3 linked regions of the Schizosaccharomyces pombe genome follow. Changing the gene in region 3 together with the main gene of any one other region gives a genetic interaction. Each region holds a gene or a part of one and is shown on either strand. Other genes may lie near its edges.

Region 1 (3,234 bases), on a different chromosome or scaffold from region 3:
TTAATCTTGGCGACCCTTAACAAGTCGTTTGATACATTTGTCTGCGGTGATAACATAAACGACACAGCCCCATCCACTAATACAATCACGATCTTGGGCGTTAAGTAAAGCTTGGGAGATAGTCTCAAAGAGATCGTCAGGCTCTAAATTGGGCTCGTATACAGACTCACACATACCATAAAGTTGTTCTGTAGCGGTTCCAGAAACGATGAAATCCTCTGCAAAATCGATGCATCCAATGGAATCGAATCCACAGATAAACGGGGTATTGTCATTAGATACACCAGCAACTACTGGGAATGAGAAATAGGGACCAAATCTTTTTTCGTAAAGGGTGGAAGAAACCAAATTAGCAAATGTCTTGGGTTGAATTTGACGCTCTTCGCGGAATTTGTAAAGGTTCACTTTGTACCGAAATAACTCATAAAGCGTCTGAACATCCGTAGCAAGACCCGTCAGTCCCAAATACGTTTTGTCACCCATCGCAAACACCTTAGGAAAGTTGTTGGTCAAAGAAATTGACTGAACACCCAACCGCAAGTCCGATGCAATAGCCACGCAGTTTTTACCTGCCATGGCTACGCATGAACCACCATTATATTCCATAATACTCATTTTGTAGGATTCACTGTTTGTATGAGGAAAGGTTCTTGCTGACAAAAGAAGCACACGAATAACCACAGATGATATGTTATCGCGAGCGCACAATAACCAAATACCGTATTGGATAGGATGCGATAGTTTGATTTACCGTATGTTTAGCGATGCAAGGAGTATATCGTATTACTAGAGCCCTTCCTTTAAAAAATCACTATTGACTTTTTACGATATCCATAATAAAGAGGTATAAGAAGTGAAAATGATAGATCGTAAAGTTCACAATAAAAAGGTGTTCAGAGGTATCACTTAGACTATTGAATAATATTTAATGAGAGAAGAATAAGTCTCCCTGAAATAGCTTCCTCTAACGAGAATGTTGGAATGGCACTAGTGCTGCTACGCTTTGGCTGTGCCATACTGCCACGTCGTAGTCTGTGCATTACCGAGCGATCACATTTTAAAGGAATATCAAGCGAACTTCAATCTAACTACTTTGGCACCACCAGCGTAGCAAATATCTTCAACAACCATTTCATCAGTCTCTGCGATCTAGCAACAGCAAGATAGCTTGAGAAGGAATAACGGCGCACATGCTCGACATACCCTTGTAAAAACTCAATAAACCGATCATTTCATTTTATCAGTGTACATTAAACTGCGTTAGCTGCGCTTTAGAAGAAAGTAGTCTAAGAGAATTAAAAGTAAATAATGCCATATAGCTAACTCGATGAAGGATTGTTAGGACTGTAATCATACAACCATACAAATGCAAGAAATATCGCTATAGCGGGAAAGACAAAAATTGGGTTAAAAAAGGTATTTTTAACCGTTCTTTTGTTGTTTATTCAAAGTCATCTTTATCAAGGACTCTAAATCCAAAAGATATAAATAAACATCCGGAAGTGAAAAATTTGACTTGAGCTTCCTTTCAATCCTATTTGCCAAAGAAATTCCCATACTTTGTCTTCTTTCTATCCAACACTCCGATAAGATATCGCACATAACATCGCTAATTAGCATAACACAAATTAACCTATCGGTATCTATATAACGTGGTATAACCCGTCCCTATGCGATATACCACGTTTATTAAGTTCGTTATTCAGCACACCGAATTTTGCACCACTGCGATATTTGAGAGGCTCATATTGCTGAAATCGTGTGGTATACGTATTCCTCCAACTACCATGTTCAAAGACTACTATGCCATTCTCAACATCACCCCCAAAGCCAGTGCTGAGGAGATAAAATATGCGTATAAAAAGGCTGCTCTGGAGACGCACCCTGATAGAGTATCGCCCAGTGCTCGTGCTCGAGCCACTGAACAATTTCAGCTGGTGAACGAAGCATACTACGTCTTAAGTGACAATTCTCGACGAGCTCAGTACGATCGTGAAAGTGCCTCTTCCTCTGCTAAACCAAGACAATCGTTTTTTTCCCGCACAAACCCTCAACCCCAAAGTCAGAGTCAACAAGGAGGGCCAAGTTTTGGATTTCGCCAATCCTTTTCCGATTCGCAATTCGAGCAGGTGTTCAACGAAATGATGAATGAGACATCGACCAGAGGCATTGCCAATGCCTTTTGGACCATCGTAGGTACGTTAGCTGGTGCGGCGTTGGGATTTATCACGTTTGATGTGCCTGGTGTTCTTGTAGGCTCGGCTGCCGGTGCTAAACTTGGGCGAATTCGTGACACCCATGGAAAAAGCGCTTACAGCGTCTTTCAAGACATGCCTGCAGTAGAAAAAGCTCGCATATTAACCCAATTCCTCTCCCATCTCCTTAATTCTTCCAAGCAGTTCACCTCCTCCTAAACGCGTCTTTTTGTTTACGTGTCGCAAAATTTATTAAATCAGTTACGCGTCGCGCTTTCCAGCACTGTCCACATTTGGTCCAATCAGTCGCAGCCCGTCCCTTTCTCCCATGCATTTTCGGCTCGTCCATCAGAGCGAGTTCGTTGATGTCATGTGATGTCATGTTTTGCAATGATGATGTAACTACTTTTCTTAGTTTCTCATAATGAAAATCGCTCCTTCTTTTTACCTAACTCAGTCTTAATTTCTTGAAATATTGAAGTTTGACGAGTTTTCAAGCTTCTGTCGTTTTTCATATTATTTTAGGGACGAACAACTTTCATTGTTGCTCGACAAGATCCATCTGTCGCCTTGGCTGGTGTCTCGTAGAAAATTTACCTTTCCCGGGTTTATTGGGCTGAAACGCCGACGGATTTGATCTGTTTTCCAAAAATCTTTTTTTGTTTATTTGTTTTACTCTAAAAATAATAGAGGATTGAAAGATACATAGGCATCACAGTACTCTAATATTATTTTGAAATGAGTACTCTTGGGAACTCTACTGTTAAACCCACGAACGCGGAATTTCCCGGCCTCCATGCTATGGAGCGCTACAAACCCGCCACGTCGGAAAGCCTCTATGTGAAGGGACATTACGGTCCCCATCCTCATAAAGAACATCCTGCCGCTTATGTTGCTGCAAAAACTGGTTTTAACGCCACTTCGAGAAGACAATCGGTGCGTGAGCATCACTCCTCTCATGAGGGTTCTGCTCAACTTAACCCCGATCGTATTTTGTATATGTCTGCTGGTGCGGTTACCGCCGCTGTCCCTAATAAGG
Region 2 (3,754 bases), 680 kb from region 3:
TATCACTATGGAATATTTTTCATCTTCCTTGGACCCTAATTTCTAATAATTGTCAAAAAATATATACAATAAACAAATTTTTGTAAATTGGATTTATATTATGGAATTTTTATATTTTACTGAAGCACTGATTATATTTAATGGTTAAATTTCTAATTTATATTAATTTATATGTATGTTACGGTAGTAAGATAAGAAGCAATCGAACATAGAAAACGCTGCTTTAAAATCGACATTGGTAATTTAAAAATGATAACAGTGTATTTGATGGTACGAACATTTTTTGCCAAGGATTACGATTTGATTATAAAATTTGTGCACCAACTCATTTATTCATATATGCTAAATATAATGGTAACGCAATTCCCAACAATTAAATATGCAAATTTTGTTATTTCTCTAGGTTTATACTTCACGAAGTTTTTTTTTACAGTATACTAAAAAATAAAACAAAATTCTACACTGTCCACTTACTGTTCTAAGCTTCGACACTATAGCAAATTTAATCATATGTTGAGAAATTTTCGAAATTAATATTATTTTTGATAACTTTTAAGTTGAGTTTCCAAAAACTTTACTACTCTATAACACACCTAATAGAAACGACTTTGTTGTTTAGCCTGTTCTTTGTACACAGGAGTCTTTACCATGATAGACATAACTTCAAACAAGATATCAGCAGCAGCTAATGTAGTAACTTCAGCAAAATCATAAGCAGGTGCAACCTCTACAATGTCTGCACCGACGAGTTTGATCCCATCCAAGCCGCGGAGAATGGTACGTAATTCTCTGGTGGTCCAACCTGCACTCTCAGGGGTACCGGTGGCGGGAGCATAAGCGGGATCAAGAACGTCGATGTCAATAGACAAGTAAGCTATACCATCTCCAACTCTGTCACGGATCCTCTTTATAATAGCATCAATTCCAATTGTGTCAATTTCACGAGCTTCAATAATCTCAAAACCACAATCAGCATCATTATCGTAGTCAGAGAGACCGGAGAGAGTTGTACGAATACCAGCATGAATGTTTGAATCGTTAGAAACTAATCCTTCTTGACTAGCATGGTAGAAATAAGTACCATGGTTAATGCTACCAACACTTGATTTGCCGCCTCCAAAAACCTTGGGCTTCCAGCTGTCCAAATGACTATCGAAATGAATGATAGAGACAGGTCCATATGCACGAGAGACCGATCGAAGAATTGGAAGGACAATTGTGTGGTCACCACCGAGGGTGATAACTCTAGGCAAAACGCTTCCATCTAATGCATAACCATCTTTCTCAGAATAAGATGTAGGCTTGCGAGTTAATAATTCGAAATGGCCATTCTCGATTTGTTTAATAGCAACTGCATTGTCATAACTCGTCAAAGGAATATCACCACAGTCCACAATTTTAGCCCAATTGTTGAAAGGGTTGGTCTCCATTGGAACGTTGTAACCACCATAAAGATTGAGACGACGAGATCCTTCACGGATACCGCTTGGACCAAATCTAGCACCAGGACGGTAACTAGTACCAGTGTCGAATGGTGCTCCAAGGAAGGCAATGTCGAAAGATTGACTTTTGTCGTTTAGACATTTCCAATAAGGAAGACGACCAAAAGTTGCGATTCCCGAAAAAACGGAATCAGCTTGTGTTTCACCATCTCCTGGAAAAGCATCGTCAAAGGTTTCAACTGCATTTGCACGAGATTGCTCAAAGATCTTTGGGTGCGCTTGAGCCAATTGAGCAGCACCCGCGAGAAGAATCAAAAAAAGGCTTTGAAGAGCCATTTGAATAATTGTTTGTACTGTTGAAGTTTATTGCATTTTCAGGTGAAATGAATAAGGTATTTATACTACATTTCAGATATACAAACTTCTTCAAATATCTCCAAGGAAATTTTTGAATCTGCCGTGGGGATTCACATTTCGTTAATATAAATAAGCATTCCTGTAAAAACGATTGATTTCGTCATTTGAGTTGAGCATCCACCGGAACAAACTAGTATAACGAGAGATTAGGATGGATCTTTAAGTTAGATCTAAGATATTATTGCCTATCAGAATTTCCTTGGAAATAAAGGCATGATTGTACGCTCCAAGGAAAATAAATTACGGAAGGCGAGGAAATTCGGGCTTTTATGATTAACTTTTAAAGTCTTATAAAATGGTTAAATTCATTTTTGCTTTTGAATAAAGACATATTTAGTCACAAAAGCCTCTGCAAGCATATACCCTTTCGGTGATCATAAAATTTTTGACAAACAAGCTTTGTGTGGCTATTTCGGCTTGGAGGAGTTGACATATAGATCTTTAGTCTTATTCAAAATATTTGGTATAAAATATTTACGAGCTGCTAATTTTGCTAAGACCAATTTGCTTTGAGAGTTTTCTGCTTGTAAGGACGACTCACATTCAGCATTTACAATGAGTGACATCGACAAAGAAAGCTTAAAACAAAATCAGAAGCAATGGGAAAATGAAGTTGAGTTGGGCGAAAGCAGAGAAGCTAATCAAGATGATGAGCTTCTGATGAGCCTTGGTTACAAACCAGAATTCACTAGAGAATTCTCTTACGTTAGCATTTTTGGTCAATCGTTTGGATCAATGGGTCTTTGTCCGGCTATGGCGGGTTCACTCATTTTCTCGATGAACTGTGGAGGAGGAGGCATGGTTTGGTCATGGATTATTGGATGTATATGTCTGATTCCAGTAAGTATATCATTGGGCGAACTGGCGTCTTCTATGCCTACTTCTGGAGGTCTTTATTTTTGGATTTTTACCCTAGCATCACCATCGTCAAGAGCATTTCTCTGCTGGGTTTGTGGTTACGTGTCAGTGCTTGGCTACGCTACGATTTATGCTTCAACAGTGTACTCTGCATCATCTATGGTACAGGCACTAGCTGTGATAGGTAGTCCTTCTTATTCACCTACAAAATATGAACAGTACGGAATTTACGCAGCGTTGCTTTTCGTGATTTCTGCCATGACTGCAATTCCCTCTCGTGTTATCGCGAAGGTGAACATCATTAATATTACCTTCCAATTCCTTGTATCCATTATTCTTATTATTGCCCTTGCCGCAGGATCTGACTCTACTACTAGAAATTCTGGAAGTTTTATATTCGGTGATTTTACAAATTATTCTGGATGGTCAAACATGGGATGGGCATTTATACTTTCATTCACTACTCCTGTGTGGGTTGTAAGCGGATTCGAATCTAGCGCCGCTGTTGCTGAAGAATCAACGAATGCTGCCAAAGCAGCTCCCTTTGCTATGATTTCCAGTCTTGGTGTGGCTACCATTCTTGGATGGTGCATCGTTATCACCGTTGTAGCTACTATGGGTCACGATTTTAATGCCATTCTAGGTTCCTCTTTAGGCCAGCCTGTAGCTCAAGTACTGGTTAACAATGTTGGAAATAAGGGAGCTTTAGGAATTTTCTCTTTGCTGGTCATTGCCCTTTGTTTGAACTGCATTTCGTTACTGATTGCTGCATCTAGAGAAGTATTTGCTTTCTGCAGAGACGGCGGGATTCCAGGAAGTAGATACTTACGTCTTTTGACTAAACAGAAAGTTCCCTTAAATGCAATTCTTTTAGTGCTACTCTATAGCCTTTTAGTCGGTCTACTAATTTTGGTTAATGTCACTGCCATTTCTTCTGTGTTTAATTTAGCAATTATTGCTCTTTATATCGCTTATTCCGGCCCTCTTATGTGTCGATTTGTGTACAATAAATTTCAACCTGGTGTTTTCTACGTTGG
Region 3 (3,759 bases):
ACGCTCAGAAGTAGTGACACCATTTTGAAGAGTACCTTCATAAAAAGTGTTCGATGGAAATTCTGAAAGACAGGGATGCATACGATATTGCACAACTAATCTGAAAGGAGAGTTTCCTAATATAATCAGTCGCTCAAAAAGTGATTGGGAAAGGCTAGCTAATGCAACCTTTTTATTCATAACAACCGGTCCCAGTTGTTGGTGATCACCAACAAGTACTACTTGTTTGGCGCCTAAAACTAAAGGAATCATGCATTCAGGTTCTGAAGCCTGTGTAGCTTCGTCAATAAGTACTGAACGAAATTTGTACTTGGAAATCCTTCTATCACCAGCACCAACACAAGTACAACAAATGACATGAGCCGCACGTAATAGTTCTTTTTCGGCAGCAGCAACCAAAATACGCAGTTTTTTTTCATCCTGAATAGATAATTCGTTATTTTCACTTCGTAGCTTCAATAAACGTTGTAACTCTGGATTAAACTTATAGTTTTTAATTTGCTCATGAAGAGATAAAAAGGAAACCGATGATTCTATGTCTTCTCTAGACTTTGCGGCAACTCGAACGACACGAAGTCCTGTACGATGTATTTTTTCAGCAAGTTGGTCAACAGCAACATTCGAAGGTGCACAAACTAATACGGGAGAATGGGATTTACGCTTGCGTGATTGCATCGTGGCCAGGTGATAGACTACAGATGCTGAGGTGACAGTTTTTCCAGTACCTGGCGGCCCTTGAATTAACGAGAGTGGCTTACTTAATACTGCACGAACAGCTTCGCTCTGACTAGCATTCAATTTTGGCAGATTAGGCACCGATAAATCAGACGGTAATTTTGGTTTCAGGAAGGAAGGAGGGATATCGTGTCCTAGCAATTTATGATACAAAAAGCTTGAAAGACGTGATCCGTCTGTAGCAAATAACCTCAAAGCAGTCTGCATTCGATCAAATGAAGTAGATTTCCAAACATAATCGACGGAAAAATTATGAGTACATTCGATAGGTACTTTATCTGAACGCTTCAGTTCTAAACCTACCTCATCTGAAACGTTGTTAGGAATTTTAATAACATATCCTGTGGAGCTCCAGGGTGCTCTTAGTTCTCCTTCATATGTAAGCTTCATTTCATCTCCTATGGCCAACCGAATTTCACCAGATTCAAGTTTGGGAAGGAGAAACCAAGCAGTATATCGTTTATTGATAGCTTGATCCCACCGAACCACAACATCTTTTTGAGTCTGCGATTCTTTGAGTCGTTTATCATAGTCAGCCTCCGCTTGAATGAGCGGAGAAAGAACTGCTTGATACGCGTGAGCATCTTTATATCGAAGTTCTACTGAAGGTAATGAATCATCCTCAATGGGCTTATCCAAGTCTTCGAGGTTAGCATTAGGGTCTTTACGCCAAAGTTCTTCAAGCCTAACCATTTGCTGTGAAGTGATTGGGATTGCAAGCTTTTGTTCCTCTTCGGATGGAGGAGTTATCAACCATGGAAGAAACTGACGATCTGAAATAATGGGTTGCCATTGAGTCAAGTCCCAGTTCATATCCTTAGCTATGCTAGCTCTAGCACAAGGTTGTCGGCATAATAAAACAACCACTGTCTTAGCTTTTGCTGGTATAAATCCTAATAGAAACACATTTCTCGTTCCACAATTATAACACTCAAGTACTGTGTCTGAAAGAGAAGAATGGCTATGTAAAGCAACCTGCTTATGTCGAGCACGAACTAGGTGACTAATGATATGCGAAGCTCCAGATTTCCCTCTTACATTACAAAACCATTTATTACAATGCAAACATTTCAATATAGAATTTGGATTCTTTATGTGGCAATAGGCACAGTGTTCTTCAGAATATTGTTTTTCGACTAATAATTCTTCAAATTGATGCTCTAGTCCATTTTCAGAAGTCATATTTTTTGAACTAACTAAAGATGAAATATCATTATTAGGTTGTAGCCCTAAAGACATGGAAAGACAACTTGATATGTTATTAAGCCGTCAATTTGCAAAGTGTAAATAATTGTAACACATTTTTAGAAAGAAAGGTTAGTCATTTAGTGAGGTTTAATGAGTTAAAATGTGCTGCTAGGAAGCTCCCTAAAACGTAAACAAAAAACGCCGTTAATGGGAAAAACTAACAATAGCAAGACTCATTTACTTGTAAGATATTATATCTATTCAGGGTAGATAAATTTTGTCAGTTTCGAGATGATCATTTACGTTCTTGAAACAGCTGGTCGTACTATAGATTACTAAATAAGGTAGAGCACTGTAGTATTGTGACACAAATCGGTGCTCACTATTGGAATTAAACAAAATTATATAAACGGTTGCTGAGACCATGTAAACAATCATATTGAAGACTATTAATTTTTTGACTAACAGTTGTCGAAAAGTAATAAACAGATATTTTTAACTTAATATCGGACTCTATACAAATTTATTAACATGAGAGTTGTATCTACTCGCTCTGGAAGTTAGCATACCAAGTGTACCGTTACCCATTTTGAACTTTTCAAGGAGTGTGTTACTTCCACCTATACAACAACTGCCCGTGTGAAACTATCCAAATTGAAATAATTTTAAGAATTTCAGGCCTCTTAATTGTCTGAACTTCTTGGAGTTTATGTGGTGCTTAGCGGCAAACTCTTCATGAACTGAAGAGGCTTCAAAGAGGGGACTTCGAATGCTGCGTTTAACAAGTTGATTTACTTGTAAGTATTTGTTCTCCAAATCCGGGTTTAATTCCTTCTTTTAAAATTATTTTTCGTTTCACAACATTTCATTTTTCCCCACCCTGGTTTAAGCAGCTAGTGCCTTTAATTATTTGATTTTTCTACTTTCTTTACGTTAATCAACTTCGACAACAATTATAAATGGTGGGGTTAATAAGTACAAGCGAAACGCTGCCTAAACAGGAGAGTAAAAGTTCCTCAGCCCCAGTGTCTAATTTCCTTTCTCCTAATAATCTGACTGAACAGACATGCAGTCCTCTAAGAGCTCATTCTACTTTTAAAGAGCCCGTATTTCTGTTATCGCAACGCCAATATTCACACAATAGCAAAATACTTACAGAATTAATAAATAGTGTGAAAAGGCCTAACAAGCCCGATCAAAATGAAGAAAAATCGGCTGTTGGAATAGAAGAGAAGTCCTTTAAAGATGAACACTTGGCACAGAAAAAAGGATTGCATCATTTTGCAGATCTAAAAGAAATCTTTCTGAATAAAAATTTGAGTACTTTGGATGGTTTACAAGATGCATCGCTTCATGACAACATACAGAGTGGAAAATTAGACAACCCAGTTATATCTCAAAACCGTCGCATTGTACTAGAAAAGCTTGCTAATCCCAATTCCAGCAAAGAATATGAAACCATCCCTACAGTCGAAAACCGACATCCACTCAACAAATTAAGCAAGACAAAAACTTTAGCTTACGAAGAAACTATTAATCAGCTAGATGAAACCCCAGGAGGAACGAATTATCCCATGAACAAAAAAAAAACATTATCTTCTGAAACTAACAAATATGAATATCCACAACAATCGAAATTCCATGAATGTTCTCAATTTGCTTCACCACGGTCTTCTATAGTAAATGGACCCAGAACCCTCGGAAAAAATTCTAAAAGAGCTGATGATACTGCAAGAATGGCTTCGCGAATGAAACCATCCAATTTTAATAATAATATTCAGAGCAGTTCATACGGACATGCATCACAATCTACGAAATTAACGTCCCAAAGAGACA

Evidence for each region.
Region 1: of upf1 (region 3) and SPOM_SPCC63.13, a mutation in one rescues a mutant of the other (synthetic rescue), as found in Schizosaccharomyces pombe (one study listed by BioGRID).
Region 2: of upf1 (region 3) and SPOM_SPAC11D3.09, a mutation in one rescues a mutant of the other (synthetic rescue), as found in Schizosaccharomyces pombe (one study listed by BioGRID).

The regions. Positions count from the first base shown.
Region 1 is NC_003421.2:859,779-863,012, forward strand, and holds SPOM_SPCC63.13 (DNAJ (Hsp40) chaperone family protein), read left to right. Parts: upstream 1-1,780; 5' UTR 1,781-1,787; coding exon 1,788-2,414; 3' UTR 2,415-2,681; downstream 2,682-3,234. Other genes in the region: proteasome core particle subunit beta 3 Pup3, read right to left, coding at 1-615; eisosome assembly protein Eis1, read left to right, coding at 2,934-3,234.
Region 2 is NC_003424.3:120,869-124,622, reverse strand, and holds SPOM_SPAC11D3.09 (agmatinase), read right to left. Parts: upstream 1,811-3,754; 5' UTR 1,779-1,810; coding exon 594-1,778; 3' UTR 507-593; downstream 1-506. Other genes in the region: SPOM_SPAC11D3.08C (amino-acid permease), read left to right, coding at 2,415-3,754.
Region 3 is NC_003424.3:802,114-805,872, forward strand, and holds the start of upf1 (ATP-dependent RNA helicase Upf1), read right to left. Parts: upstream 2,021-3,759; 5' UTR 1,975-2,020; coding exon 1-1,974. Other genes in the region: DYRK family protein kinase Pom2, read left to right, coding at 2,883-3,759. UniProt on the Schizosaccharomyces pombe protein: RNA-dependent helicase required for nonsense-mediated decay (NMD) of aberrant mRNAs containing premature stop codons and modulates the expression level of normal mRNAs. Also capable of unwinding double-stranded DNA and translocating on single-stranded DNA.